Drosophila melanogaster: one gene and its partner. Changing the gene in region 2 together with the main gene of any one other region gives a genetic interaction. Each region holds a gene or a part of one and is shown on either strand. Other genes may lie near its edges.

Evidence for each region.
Region 1: of yem (region 2) and BRWD3, changing one suppresses a phenotype caused by changing the other (phenotypic suppression), as found in Drosophila melanogaster (one study listed by BioGRID).

Annotation. Positions count from the first base shown.
Region 1 is NT_033777.3:24,317,337-24,322,013, reverse strand, and holds the start of BRWD3 (BRWD3), read right to left. Parts: upstream 3,015-4,677; 5' UTR 2,900-3,014; coding exon 2,857-2,899; exon of another isoform or gene 2,606-2,856; coding exon 2,547-2,605; exon of another isoform or gene 2,423-2,546; coding exon 2,393-2,422; exon of another isoform or gene 2,232-2,392; intron 1,998-2,231; coding exon 1,938-1,997; intron 1,347-1,937; coding exon 1,100-1,346; intron 1,039-1,099; coding exon 231-1,038; intron 152-230; coding exon 55-151; intron 1-54. Other genes in the region: Nab2 (nuclear polyadenosine RNA-binding 2), read left to right, coding at 3,758-3,799, 3,893-4,118, 4,173-4,677.
Region 2 is NT_033777.3:29,117,830-29,124,662, reverse strand, and holds yem (yemanuclein), read left to right. Parts: upstream 1-1,783; 5' UTR 1,784-2,461; coding exon 2,462-2,701; intron 2,702-2,756; coding exon 2,757-2,978; intron 2,979-3,046; coding exon 3,047-3,866; intron 3,867-3,926; coding exon 3,927-4,074; intron 4,075-4,140; coding exon 4,141-4,380; intron 4,381-4,442; coding exon 4,443-5,781; coding exon of another isoform or gene 5,782-6,078; 3' UTR 6,079-6,333; downstream 6,334-6,833. Other genes in the region: Atg14 (Autophagy-related 14), read right to left, coding at 6,550-6,704, 6,767-6,833. UniProt on the Drosophila melanogaster protein: May play a key role in egg organization. May be a transcriptional regulator having a role in chromatin remodeling in concert with Hira, a histone chaperone. Involved in chromosome segregation by affecting kinetochores function in the first meiotic division.

The DNA of each region.
Region 1 (4,677 bases), 4.8 Mb from region 2:
ATGGGATTATTAATTATAAGTAAATGTTTAGCACGTTTTAAGACGGATGCTTACAGTAAAATCGTTTACGGCGGTGATGACATAACGGTCCGAGGCATCCCAAGCCACCATGGTTACCTTAAGCCTCTTTCCCTCCTCTGGTTCCGGGCAGCTGCAATTTAATTACAAAGCTATTAGTTTTCAGAGAATTCCTTACTAGCTAGAAACATTTTAAAGAAAATCGCACTCACCTGGCCAGACGCTCCGTCATGCATAGTTTGGAACTTTTCCACTGCTGCGACTCAAACGTCCAGATGTGTGCTGTGCCGTCCTTGCTCCCCGATATAAATCTCAGTCCACGATGCGACCACTGCACCGAGTCCACGGCATCTGTGTAAGCTTCCGTCTCCAATATTCGCTTCGGACCGTCCTCGCCCATCATATAGACGCGCACATGGTGATCGGCAGACCCAGCGGCCAGAAAAATGCCTCCTGGCGAAAAGGTGGTACACATCATCTGAGCTTGTCCGGGCCGCAGTTTCTCATGATACTGCGTTGGCTTCGGGGCAAACGTGATCTTTTGCCCGCGCGGCGTTGAGTATTGCCAGAAGGCGATCGATCCATCTGTGCTGGTAGTCACCAGATATTTCAGATCGCTACGTGGCGACGGACAAAAGTTAACCGAAGTTATCATGCCCGTGTGAGCAGACAGTACGGCGATGGGTGATGTGGTTTGCATGTCCCACACTCTTAGTATGTGATCCAATGACCCGGCAGCCAGCATCGTATTGTCCAAGTTAATGGCTATGTCTGTAATCTCGGATGAGGCGCCTCGCAGAGTGGCCAGCAGGCGGCCATCTGCCGCTGACCATATCTTAATAAGTAGATCATCGGCTCCGGTGATGATGTATCTTCCTGTGCGATCAAACAGAACACAGTACACTGAGGACAGGTGGCCCACAGTGCGACGGAGCAATTTTGTTCGGCGGTAGAGGTCCGTGGGCACGAGGAGCTTGCGACGGACTTCCCCGCCGTGTTCCCGTCCAGTTAGAACGCGATCTTTGGAAATATAAATGGGTTAGTCTCTAATATGCGAATAAAACTCTACCATGCAACTAACCTAAGTTGTGGGTCGGCTTTGTAAGGACCGAATCCGGCAGCGAGACTCCATTCAGGCGGGTGCAGTAGTCCCTTAAGGAGCGATGGCAGTAGACGGTTTCCTTGGTGCGCAGGAGGTTCTGGCGCCCAGTACCCAACAGCGAGTTGATGCCCGGAACACTGGGCGGAAGCTCGCGATCCACCAGTGGACCCAGACGACTGCATATTTCAAGCAAGTGATTGGCGCCAATGTGCTTGTACTTTCGTTCCTGCGAATTCAAAATCAAAATTTAACGTATTCCTATCGATTGGGCGATAAACGGTGCGATAGCTTCAACAACGTATGCTTGTCTCGTTCCCTCGCGCACAAGTCAAGGCAAAGTGGTGGTTGCTTGCATGTGTCTGTGCGCATGGGCATGTGTATGTGTGAGAAACCAAAATGTCGGCTGGTTGCAGCTAATTGTTAAAACTAAATTACAAAGCATTTGTTTAAAAAATTAAGATTTTTCAAAATTTACAATTTTTACGAGGGTTTTAGAATTTTTGCTTTCCACTTTAGTCTTTTACGAATTTTTGCAATTTTTTGCTGCCTTTTTAATTAAATAGTTGCTTACTTATTTGTTAATTTAACAGTCAGAATGATTGATGTCTTTAGTTGTAATGTTTTTTAAATTAACAACTTGAATTTTGATGTGCAACTTTTTCTCTATTCCCTGACACGATGACGTCACAAAGGCGAGCGAACGACTGAGACGGAAAATGCCGCAGCAGACGCACACTTACGCAAGACTTAAATGCCGATCAAAAGGCATTAAACGATAACTTTGAAAAGCTAATTGATTAATTATGAAAACACTCACCAATTCCTCAAAGGTCTGCTCATGCTCGTTTCCCTGCCAATCGAGACGACGCGGCAAAACCTGGGAATCGAAAGGTGTACGTATATATAGACGGGTGTAAATATATATGCATGCATGTATGACTCTTATCACTTGCACTCCGTGACGTCGACGATGACGTCGCGGGGGCATCCCTATGATTCCATTTCTTTTTTCATGTTTTTCTCTTCTTTTTTTAATGGACTATATATTCACGTGGCCCCAGCAAATCCACAATTCAGTCTGATTCCCAACTCTGAGACAAGCGGACGTACAAGTGGGTTTTTCGTCGTTCGCTGCCGGCAGCAGAAACAACAACAAAACCAAAACAAAGCGTATAAACAAACGCGGTTTTCTATTTTTTTTTTGGCCCCCCTCTCAATTCGAGTCCGAAATATCTGTGCCAAAAACACAGCTGCAGCACCAACAAAACTCACCTTCTTCTCTTCGAGTTCCCGGATCAAGACCTACAGTTGGATAGAATTTAGTTTCAGAATTAATGTAAATGTTTGTAAACAAAACGAAATTCCGCTCTTTTAGCGCGAAATACGATTCCAATGCGATCTCGCGCGAGCGCTGCTTTCAACCCACCTTCGCCGTCTCCTCCAGCGGTCCCGCGGCCAGGAACTTGGAAATGAGGAAGTACAGCTCTGCAAGATAGAGGATTTCACGGGTTTTAGTGCAACAAGTTGTCGAAAATGCGCTCGCTGGGAGTCGTCAATATTCCAGATATATCTGGCCAAAGGGGCCCGTGAATTTCGCTTGGCGAAACGCAGTCGAAAAAACGCAGCCATTCGATTCGAAGGGCGAGCGAAACACAGACACACATTTCACAAAGTCAAAGGGGCTGCCTTTGGTAGCCCCGTTGGACGCACTCGCTGCGCCACCGGGCGGTACGCACCTGGCTTTAGATCATCACCGGAACTGGGTTGTCTAGTTTCCATTATTCATTGCGAATTGCAGCTCCGATTATGACAAAATTGCAGTTGCTTTCTTCTAAAATTCTTTTCGCAGCTTCTTCTTCCCGTGTGACACTCGATTGCCATTCCCACCGAATGAAATGCCTTTGCGTATCGATAGTTGGTGGCGGGGCTCACAAGATGGGTATCGAGTCTTAGCCGAAGGAGCCAATTTTCGTATTTGAATTTGAGATGATGCACTGAAATGCTTCGCAGGATTCTACAATCTAAGATATTTACTTCAAATTGAGAATTTTAATTCTCAGTCAAACATATTCGTAGCCATTGGTTTGGAATTTAAGCTTATTATGAAATTTATATTTAGCTATGTGATTAAATAAACTGTTTGCAATTATTCGCTTTTAATTTTCGAATGTAATTTAATAGCTACTACACAAATTCTTGATAACTAGACTTATGATTTAATGAATAACAAGTGAAATCTTTTTATATTTTTAAATTGTCCCATTGGTGTTGATTATTTTGAAGTTATGTTGCACTTCAGTTCATGGCCATGGCCAGGAGCATTTTTAAATTTCAGAAGTTTTTAATTTGCCATTTTAATTTCAAATGAAATTTCTGTAACTATTTATTATTTTAAAGCTATGTTTATAGAAAATCGATATATACATTATAAAACGTGTGAATTAAACGTGAATACCCTTAATGTCAAACGCACACCACTAGTTATGAATATCGGAGCAGCTGCGATATTTTTTTTTTTTGGGAGGTTTTGCCATTTTCTAATGTAACAAAAAGTGGAGTGTAGCCACAAAGTAAGCGTAAATAATAAATGCTCGCGGCGAATAAACAGCGAAAAAGGCGATAGATAAACCAGCAAACATGGAGTGCAATCTGGGCAGCGAGATTGGTCAGAAGATGCGCGTAAGTCATTGGAAAAAAATCAATGAACTCGTTATGGATACCGCTCGGATTGGATACTCCAATACTATATATATTTTTGCACTTCATTAATAGAGCGCCGTAAAGGCAAAGCTGCTGGAGCTGGGAACCGGAGGATCGGCCGGTTTTATAGACGATGAATTGCCGGACTACGTCATGGTCATGGTGGCCAACAAGCGCACCAAACAGCAGATGAACGCCGAGCTGAATCTATTCCTAGGCGATCAAACTGACCTCTTTGTCACCTGGCTGCACGAAGTGCTGCAAAAGCTCCAAGAGGTCACACTCCCCACATCCAGTGGTATGATGGATATGCTCATCATACTTAAGCACCCACTAACTCCAATTTTTTCAGCTTCCAGCAAGAAGCGCAAGTCTCGCGGTCAGGAGAAGGACAAAAAAGGATCCAAGAAGGATAAGCGACCGCACCGAAAGTCCGGAGATGAGCTGTCGGAACCACAGCCAAGTTCCTCAGATGCCATGCCAATTGTCAGTTCCATCACGGATGTTTTTGCCGAAGAGCTTCTCGAGAAGGCAAAGAAAACCATGGACATTGATCTCAGTGCCAAAGACGAGATCCTGCACAAAAAGAAAAATCGCAAGTCCATCGAGGATGAGGATGCATCGGCCAATAGGGCGCTGGATGTGCCCGCTGTGTCTGAGATCATCTCAACTACTATCGGTGTTAACCGGCAAAAAGACCTCGCTGAGCTGGCCGAAATCCAAAAGAAAATTCATGCAGCCAAGAAGCATTTACGCCAGATTGGCGAGATCGGGGATGAAAGCGATGAATATGATGAGGATCTGTTGAACTTGAGCGCGAGGGAGGAGTCTGTAGACCAGGAGCCAGAAGAGGATCC
Region 2 (6,833 bases):
GTGTATCGCTTTATTTTTGTGTGCGGCTTCTGTCCATTTGAGATGAAAAACTGGCTGCCGCCTTTAATAGATGAATTACCAAAAAAACACACAAGTTTTCATAGAAAATGGGAAACCAATTTGGGTTGGCAAGGCATTTGGGGCCACATGTTTCAAGGTCGATTGCCGTAACTCCATTTTGGTGTAGGAATTTCAATGTCTGGGAGTAGAGTTTATCATTCAAGCAGTGCTACGGGCAACACTCTCAGTAGCTAACCTTTTTTTCTTGCAAAGAAACTTGTAGACATGATAAGAAAACGGGTGTTCGTTTTGATATCTAACCCATTTGCATAATTTGTAGTGTAGAAAACTGGTTTAAACCTAAGTTGTCCTTGCATCGAGTGTTTACTGTGTTCACCTTGGACTACGTCACTTGAGATAAAAGAAAGCAGTCGCAGTTCTGATCTTATCTTATAATGGTAGTCTCTTGTTTCCCATATGAACGATTTCCCCTTGTTGTTTTTTGGAACTACAAATGTACAAGGCCCCGTAATTTCGTAATGAAGCAGTATTACTCACCTTTGCTTCGGAGCCGAACGATTCTTCCAGAGATGTAACAAAGGAGCTCCACTCTTCTCGTCGCTTTTCCTTTCTTTCTTAAAGTTCCTTTATTGTCTCATGACACTTTTTTACGAGCGGCTGGGGGCTTTTTGTTTAGCTGGTTTCCTGGGACGGAGTCACTACTCCGGCGAAAGTCACCGGACCACTGAAAGCGGGAAGCCTTTGTCGGAGCTCCGTATCCCGTACGTTGCTCTTTGGACGTCGGTCACTTGCATTCGTTGGATAAATATGTACATACATACATAAAAGAGCTCGAGTGGGGCTGCAAGCATAAAGGCAGCATAAGTGTTTATGTGCTAGTGTTTGTGTGGTGCCACTTGGGGATTGGGGGTGGGGGAGTTGGGGATTGGGTTGGATTGGATTGTGAAAAGAGCAGCACGGCACACTTTTGTTAATTGCACAATCCTAATCGTTTTCACCCGATAACGAGCACTGGCCATTCCCGTTATAATAACACCTTGCAGTTTCGACCGAATTCGAATTTCTGTGCATGCAACTCTTTTCGTTTCGCTTGTTTTTGTTGTGGAGCGGGCGCATGAAATTAAGCCCCCAAGCTCACGTACTGCGACTCACTTGCACTTGCGCTAATTAAACGGCGAGCACTTGACTTTCTACGAAGTAAACTCCTTCACAATCGAAATAATACTGAATCGCCCCAAGAAAATCTGCCCACCACCCGCGGCCCCATACTCTGAACAGCTGTGCCGAACAGTGCTGCACAACGGCCCGTTCTGGTCAAAACAAAGCAGAAATGTGTGTGGAATGTGGCACTGCACAGGGATGCACAAAAGCTAGTGCGAGTGTTGGCCGCTTTCAAGCCAGATCTCGTTACTTGTTGGAAAGTTTTAGAGCCGCGTAAGTTATAAAAAAGTTTACATTATATTTTGATTTTGGGTCCTTTTTAAACAATTAAGCTTACAACAGCATAAGCCACCTATATATTTTACGTAACCTATCAACTTGGTAGCTCGAAACTTTACTTTAAAAATGAGCTAGATGCCAAGCTAATGAATTTCTAACTAACGGAATTTTGGAAATACATAGCACCCATAACAACTAAATATTGCCAAATGCAGCCAGCCGCAGCAAGTCTCGGCTTGTGCTGCGCGCAGTGTGAACGGCTCGGAGTAATTTGCGAAAACCGCGACCAGTGCTGCGCAACGCGAGTGCGAAAGCCAAAAGCAGGGTCGGATCTTTGGTGCGGGGTGGAGCGGAGAGAATGTAGCGTTGAGGATTTTAACAAGAAACAATTTAAGAATCGCGCTCCTGGCCGTGCGAAAAGCGCCTGGTCGAATCGTTTAAATGTCCCCTTTGGTAGCGTCGATTGCGTGTGTTTAATCCCCGGTGCGCTGCTTTTACAGACTGTGTTGTTTTCGTGCCGGCAAGCCAACCAATTTGAAACCCCCCAAAAAGTTTCCACTTTTTCATTCCCCCAGAAAAGTGACAATTATTCGTGGCCGTGGTCGGCGGATGCAGCTGCAAAGCGGGCGGCGATTAAAGTAGTGCAATCCGGCGCAGGTCCTCGCCATTTGTTTATGTTGATAAAGCAGTGTTTGTGGGGCGACAACAAGAAAGTGCAGCTCAGAGTGAAATTGCCACGGTTATTAAGTGGTTGTGGTTGCTTGGTGTACGTGCAGAAAACCTAAAACAGACATCCCCAGAAGAAGAGGAAGCAGCGGAAAAGGAGGAGGAGGAGCATCAGCAGCAGCGACGTCTCTGTTGTTTTTGTTTGGCTGCGAGAGAGAGAGAGGGAAAGAGCAACGAAGAACACGCGGCTCTTTCGAAAAAAAAGGGCGGGAAGGCCCTTTCGGCTCAAAGGAAACCCTATCCCACTGAATATCCGTAACTCTGCCCGCCGGAAATGTCAAAGGGGGGCGAGCACAAGCGCGTCACCCTCACCTCGATCATCCAGGGCGATGCGGGCTTCTCGCGCTTCGGCAGCAACATCCTGGAGCCTGATGCTGCGTCCGCTGCACCCGACAACAGCTCCAAACCCACGACAAAGACTGCCAAGTGCATCCGCATCAAACTCGATCTGTTCGAGACCGATTCGAACAAGTATCCCGAGTTTAACTACTCCCGGCTTTTGTATTTGGAAAAGGTAAGAGTGTATAACTCAGTTGGAGGATCGCTTTCTAAACCCTTGCAATCCGTAGAAAAAGACCAAAAAGCTGAAGCAGGTGAGCACTACCAATGGCTCCGCAAGCACTGATCCCTTTGCCGACAACGATGACGATGTGGCACGGATCGTCAAGGAGCTGGAGGCCAAGTATGGCAACTCCTATGCCACAGGCAGGGGGAAGAGCAAAAAGGACGACTACCGGGACATTGGAATGGGCTACGATGAGTCGGACTCATTCATCGACAACACGGAAGCCGTAAGAACAAGAAATATTTCCGACGAATGCACTGAAATTATTTACCTTAAACTCTATGTTCTGTCCAGTACGACGAAATCATACCGGAGGAGGCGGAAACTCTGGAGGGCGGCTTCTACATCAACTGTGGCGCACTGGAGTTCAAGAACCTCACCAAGAAGTCCTACACCACTCGAACAGATGCCATCATCAAAATGCCAGAGCGATCACGCAAGCGCATGGTCTCGTCCAGCTCGGAAAGCTCATCGTCATCCTCGGGCGATGATGACGAAAACGATGATGGCAACAATGAGGAGGACGACGAGAGCGATTCCGAGGACGACTCCGAGGAGAACGATGAAAGCGACTCCGAAGACGACTCCGAGAGTGAAAGTCTTGAGGACGAGGACTCTGCTGCTACAGCCAAATCCAGCAGCAAGTACAAAGACAATCATCAAGCTAAGCGGGCCAAGGTCATCGTTACGGGCAAGTCCAAACCAAGCTCAAGTTCTTTGACGAGTGGCAAGAAGCCGCCGACTAAGCCGATCACCACTTCCTCATCCTCAAACTCGCCACGACCCAGCACGGTGGAGATTTCGGACACGGAAGACGGCCAAGACCCTATCCAGACTCAGCCATCAAGTCAGCTTCAGTCCCTGCCGCAGAGTCAGGCCCAGGCGCAAGCTTTAAAGAAGGTGGTTAAGACCACAACGGTCAAGGACATGCTAAAGGCCAAGCGAGACAGCTTCCTGAAGTCGCAGAGCGGCACGGCAGCTGTCAAGGGCGTCGGCAACGGCGAGCTGAAGTGTGTTTCCACCGACGTGTCCAGCAGCGATAGCAGCGATATGGAGTCTGAGCACGGCCGGGCAGATAGGCAGGCCGGTCAGCATGGCAAGGATGGGCAGGAAAGTGAGTTACATATACAGTATTAGTTGGTTGAAATCACCCTTTCACGTGTTCATTTTTAAGATCTTCGCACCGCCGACACTCTGCTCCCCACCACATTGGATGCGGACATTGTGACCGCAGTCAACAGCTTCAAAGAAGCGGTGAAGAGTCGAGACATGTGCGGCAAGAAGTTTAATCTGGATGTGAAGCTTTCGCCACTACTGCTTCGGTGAGTTTGCAGCCGATGTAAACATCAAGTACAGATTTAAGGCTTATATCCATTAACCTACACCAGGGTGTACGAGGCGGTGCTGTGCACGGACCGCAACGAGCGCAACATGGTCTTCTCCCACATCGAGTATCAGCTGCAACTGCCCAAGTACTACATGCTGCGCAAAGGGAAACAAGTGCGGGCGAAGGAGGAGAAGAGGAAGTCCACCATTATGCTGGAGAAGCTGCGGCGGGCTGTAGCTGTGGTCATGCCTAAGGCGGTGGCCAACTATGAGACGGAACTGCGCACATTTGCTGAACAGGCGTAAGATTGTTGTTAAGCGAAATAACGATTAGGTTCCTTTAGATTATGATTATTATTTTCAGAGCTGCGGACGTGAACTCCGAACTGCCGCCCAAAATGCCGCGTAAGAAGTTCCAGTGGACCAGCGAGCTACGCCATCTGCTGTACGATGTGTACCAAGCGCGTTGGACGTCCTACGCTTTCCTAGCCAAGCGCAAGGAATCGTTGGAGGAGTTCATCAATTGGTATCTCAAGGAAAAGGTGGTGGAACTGTGGCCGCCAGGCTGGATGCGTTTGGATGAGTTGCAAAGGGAAATAACACGCTACAAGAACGCCAAGCTGAAAGCAAAGGAGAAGCCAAAGGCACCGCCGGCGTCCGCATCGCCCAAGCCCGTTGGAGTTGTATCTGCTCCTGAGCAAATGCCGCCGGCAAGCAGCTACCTAAAGGCAGTGGAGGACCCTCGATCTCGAGGTAACTCCGATACGGACTCAGCTACAAGTGCCTCCTCCAACAGTCTGAAGCGAAAGCTGAAGGAGATGCCCAAGCAGACCAGCAAGCCGCCAAAGAAAAAGGTGGCTAAGCAGGTACCGCTGCAACCGCAACTTACTCCGCATCCGCAATTCCAGCTGGCGCCGGCTGCCACGGCGGCCGTCAGTATACCAGCCATTAGCAATAACAACAACCACCTGCCCCACCTGGACACGCTGCTCTCCATGCCGAGCACCTCGGCTCAGGCAGCAGCACTCAATGCCGCCGCCGTAGCAGCCGCCAGTACGGTTCTGGATCTGGCATCCCCTAGCCGGAAAATTGACCTTAACACCAGCAACAATTTCTACAATCTGATCACGGCCGCCTCCCTGGCAGCCAGCGGGAATCCCAGTCCGCATTCTGGAGACGGCCAAGCCAAGGTGATTGTGGGAGCTCGGCCCTCTCCCCATGTGATCAACCTGGATGACTATCAATGCACCAGCGATATACTTCAGACGTCCAAGCAGCTAGCTGCCACCACCACTGTCATCACCGCCATCTCAAAGGCCGCGCAAACGACGTCGGTAGCCAGGGAAAGCAGCAGCGAGTCGGATGGCGTTGAGATTGTGGGAGTTTTTCCTGCCTCTAAGCCCCAAAAGAAAGTCCAGTCTAAGCCCAAGAACAAGACTCAGAACAGAGGTCGGTCGTCTTTGGGTGCGGTGGGGCAGGTAAATGGATCCCTGGGCTACAGCGCGAATAACATGTATATCTACAATAGCCCAAGAACGCTGGGTCCAGTGTACGATCTCACCGATCCGCATATAATGAAAACTATGTCAAATCTGAAGGAAATGGAAAAGCAATTCATTCAAGCGGCTTTCTCGCCGAACAGCGTCAAGGGCGCAAGCGGAGGAATGGGATCCTCAGCGCCCAGTACGCCCACGCGCCAATGACATTCGGGATCGGCCGCACAGCAGCCCCTTCCGGCTGCTGTGACGGCCTTTTACAACCAGGAGGCGATGGCCGCCGCCATCGTGCTCTCCACGATGAGCCACGCCTCGCCGCGCTACGACCTGCTGGCCAACGGCTCCGTCTCCATGTCCGCCGCCCAGGTGGGAGCCTCTGCCAACACACTGCCACAAGTATTCGTTAAACCCAGCCTGCCGCAGCCCAGCGCTGGCGGCGATGTGGTGACCACGACTGGAGCTGCTCGCCCATCCACGCAACAACTGCCCACAAAGTTCATTTAGCTAGGGTCACTCAGCTCGTTCCCTTGCGATTCTAATCTAAGATTCTAGTGCTGATTCTAGGTAGGTTTCATTCGCAGCTGTGTCTGCCGATTTTCCAATTATTGCACCAGTTTAATTATTGTTTCTCATTGAGTCGTTTACCTACTAAGTCAGTGTACTATGCAAGCATTAATAAAGCAAATTTATATATATTTATTTATAGAGAACCATTTTTATTAAATAAAGGCGAATAAGTTATGTAATAGAAATAAATCCAAAAGGCGCATTTTCTTTACACACAGCGAATATATATGTATATATATAATTGATACAAAATTAGTTCTGTAAACCAAAGGATAACGCTAAAACCAGCAACTGCCGATAAACACCGACGTGCTGTCACAGAAACGATTACTTAGTCTAATTTGTAAAAGATAACACGCGTGTCTCATGATGATATAGCCGAAAGATCGGACGTCTGTTGGTCTGCGATCATTTGATCCAGCGCAGCACCGATGTGGCCGCCATTCGCACGAAGGCGATGGTAGACTGCTGGTTGGCCGCCGGCATCAGATTGGGATCCGCCAGCTCCGGCTGCGGTGTCAGGCTGGGCACCGCCTCCCAGTCCATGCGCAGAGAGTTTTCGTCTGGAAAGGCATCAGCATCAGTTTGAAAAGATTATTCCCCTCAAATTGCTAAACCAACTCACCCTCTGACTCCGATTCCGTGGCGGTCTCGATGCCGATTAGTAGGGAGTCCACTGACTTCATGAGTGG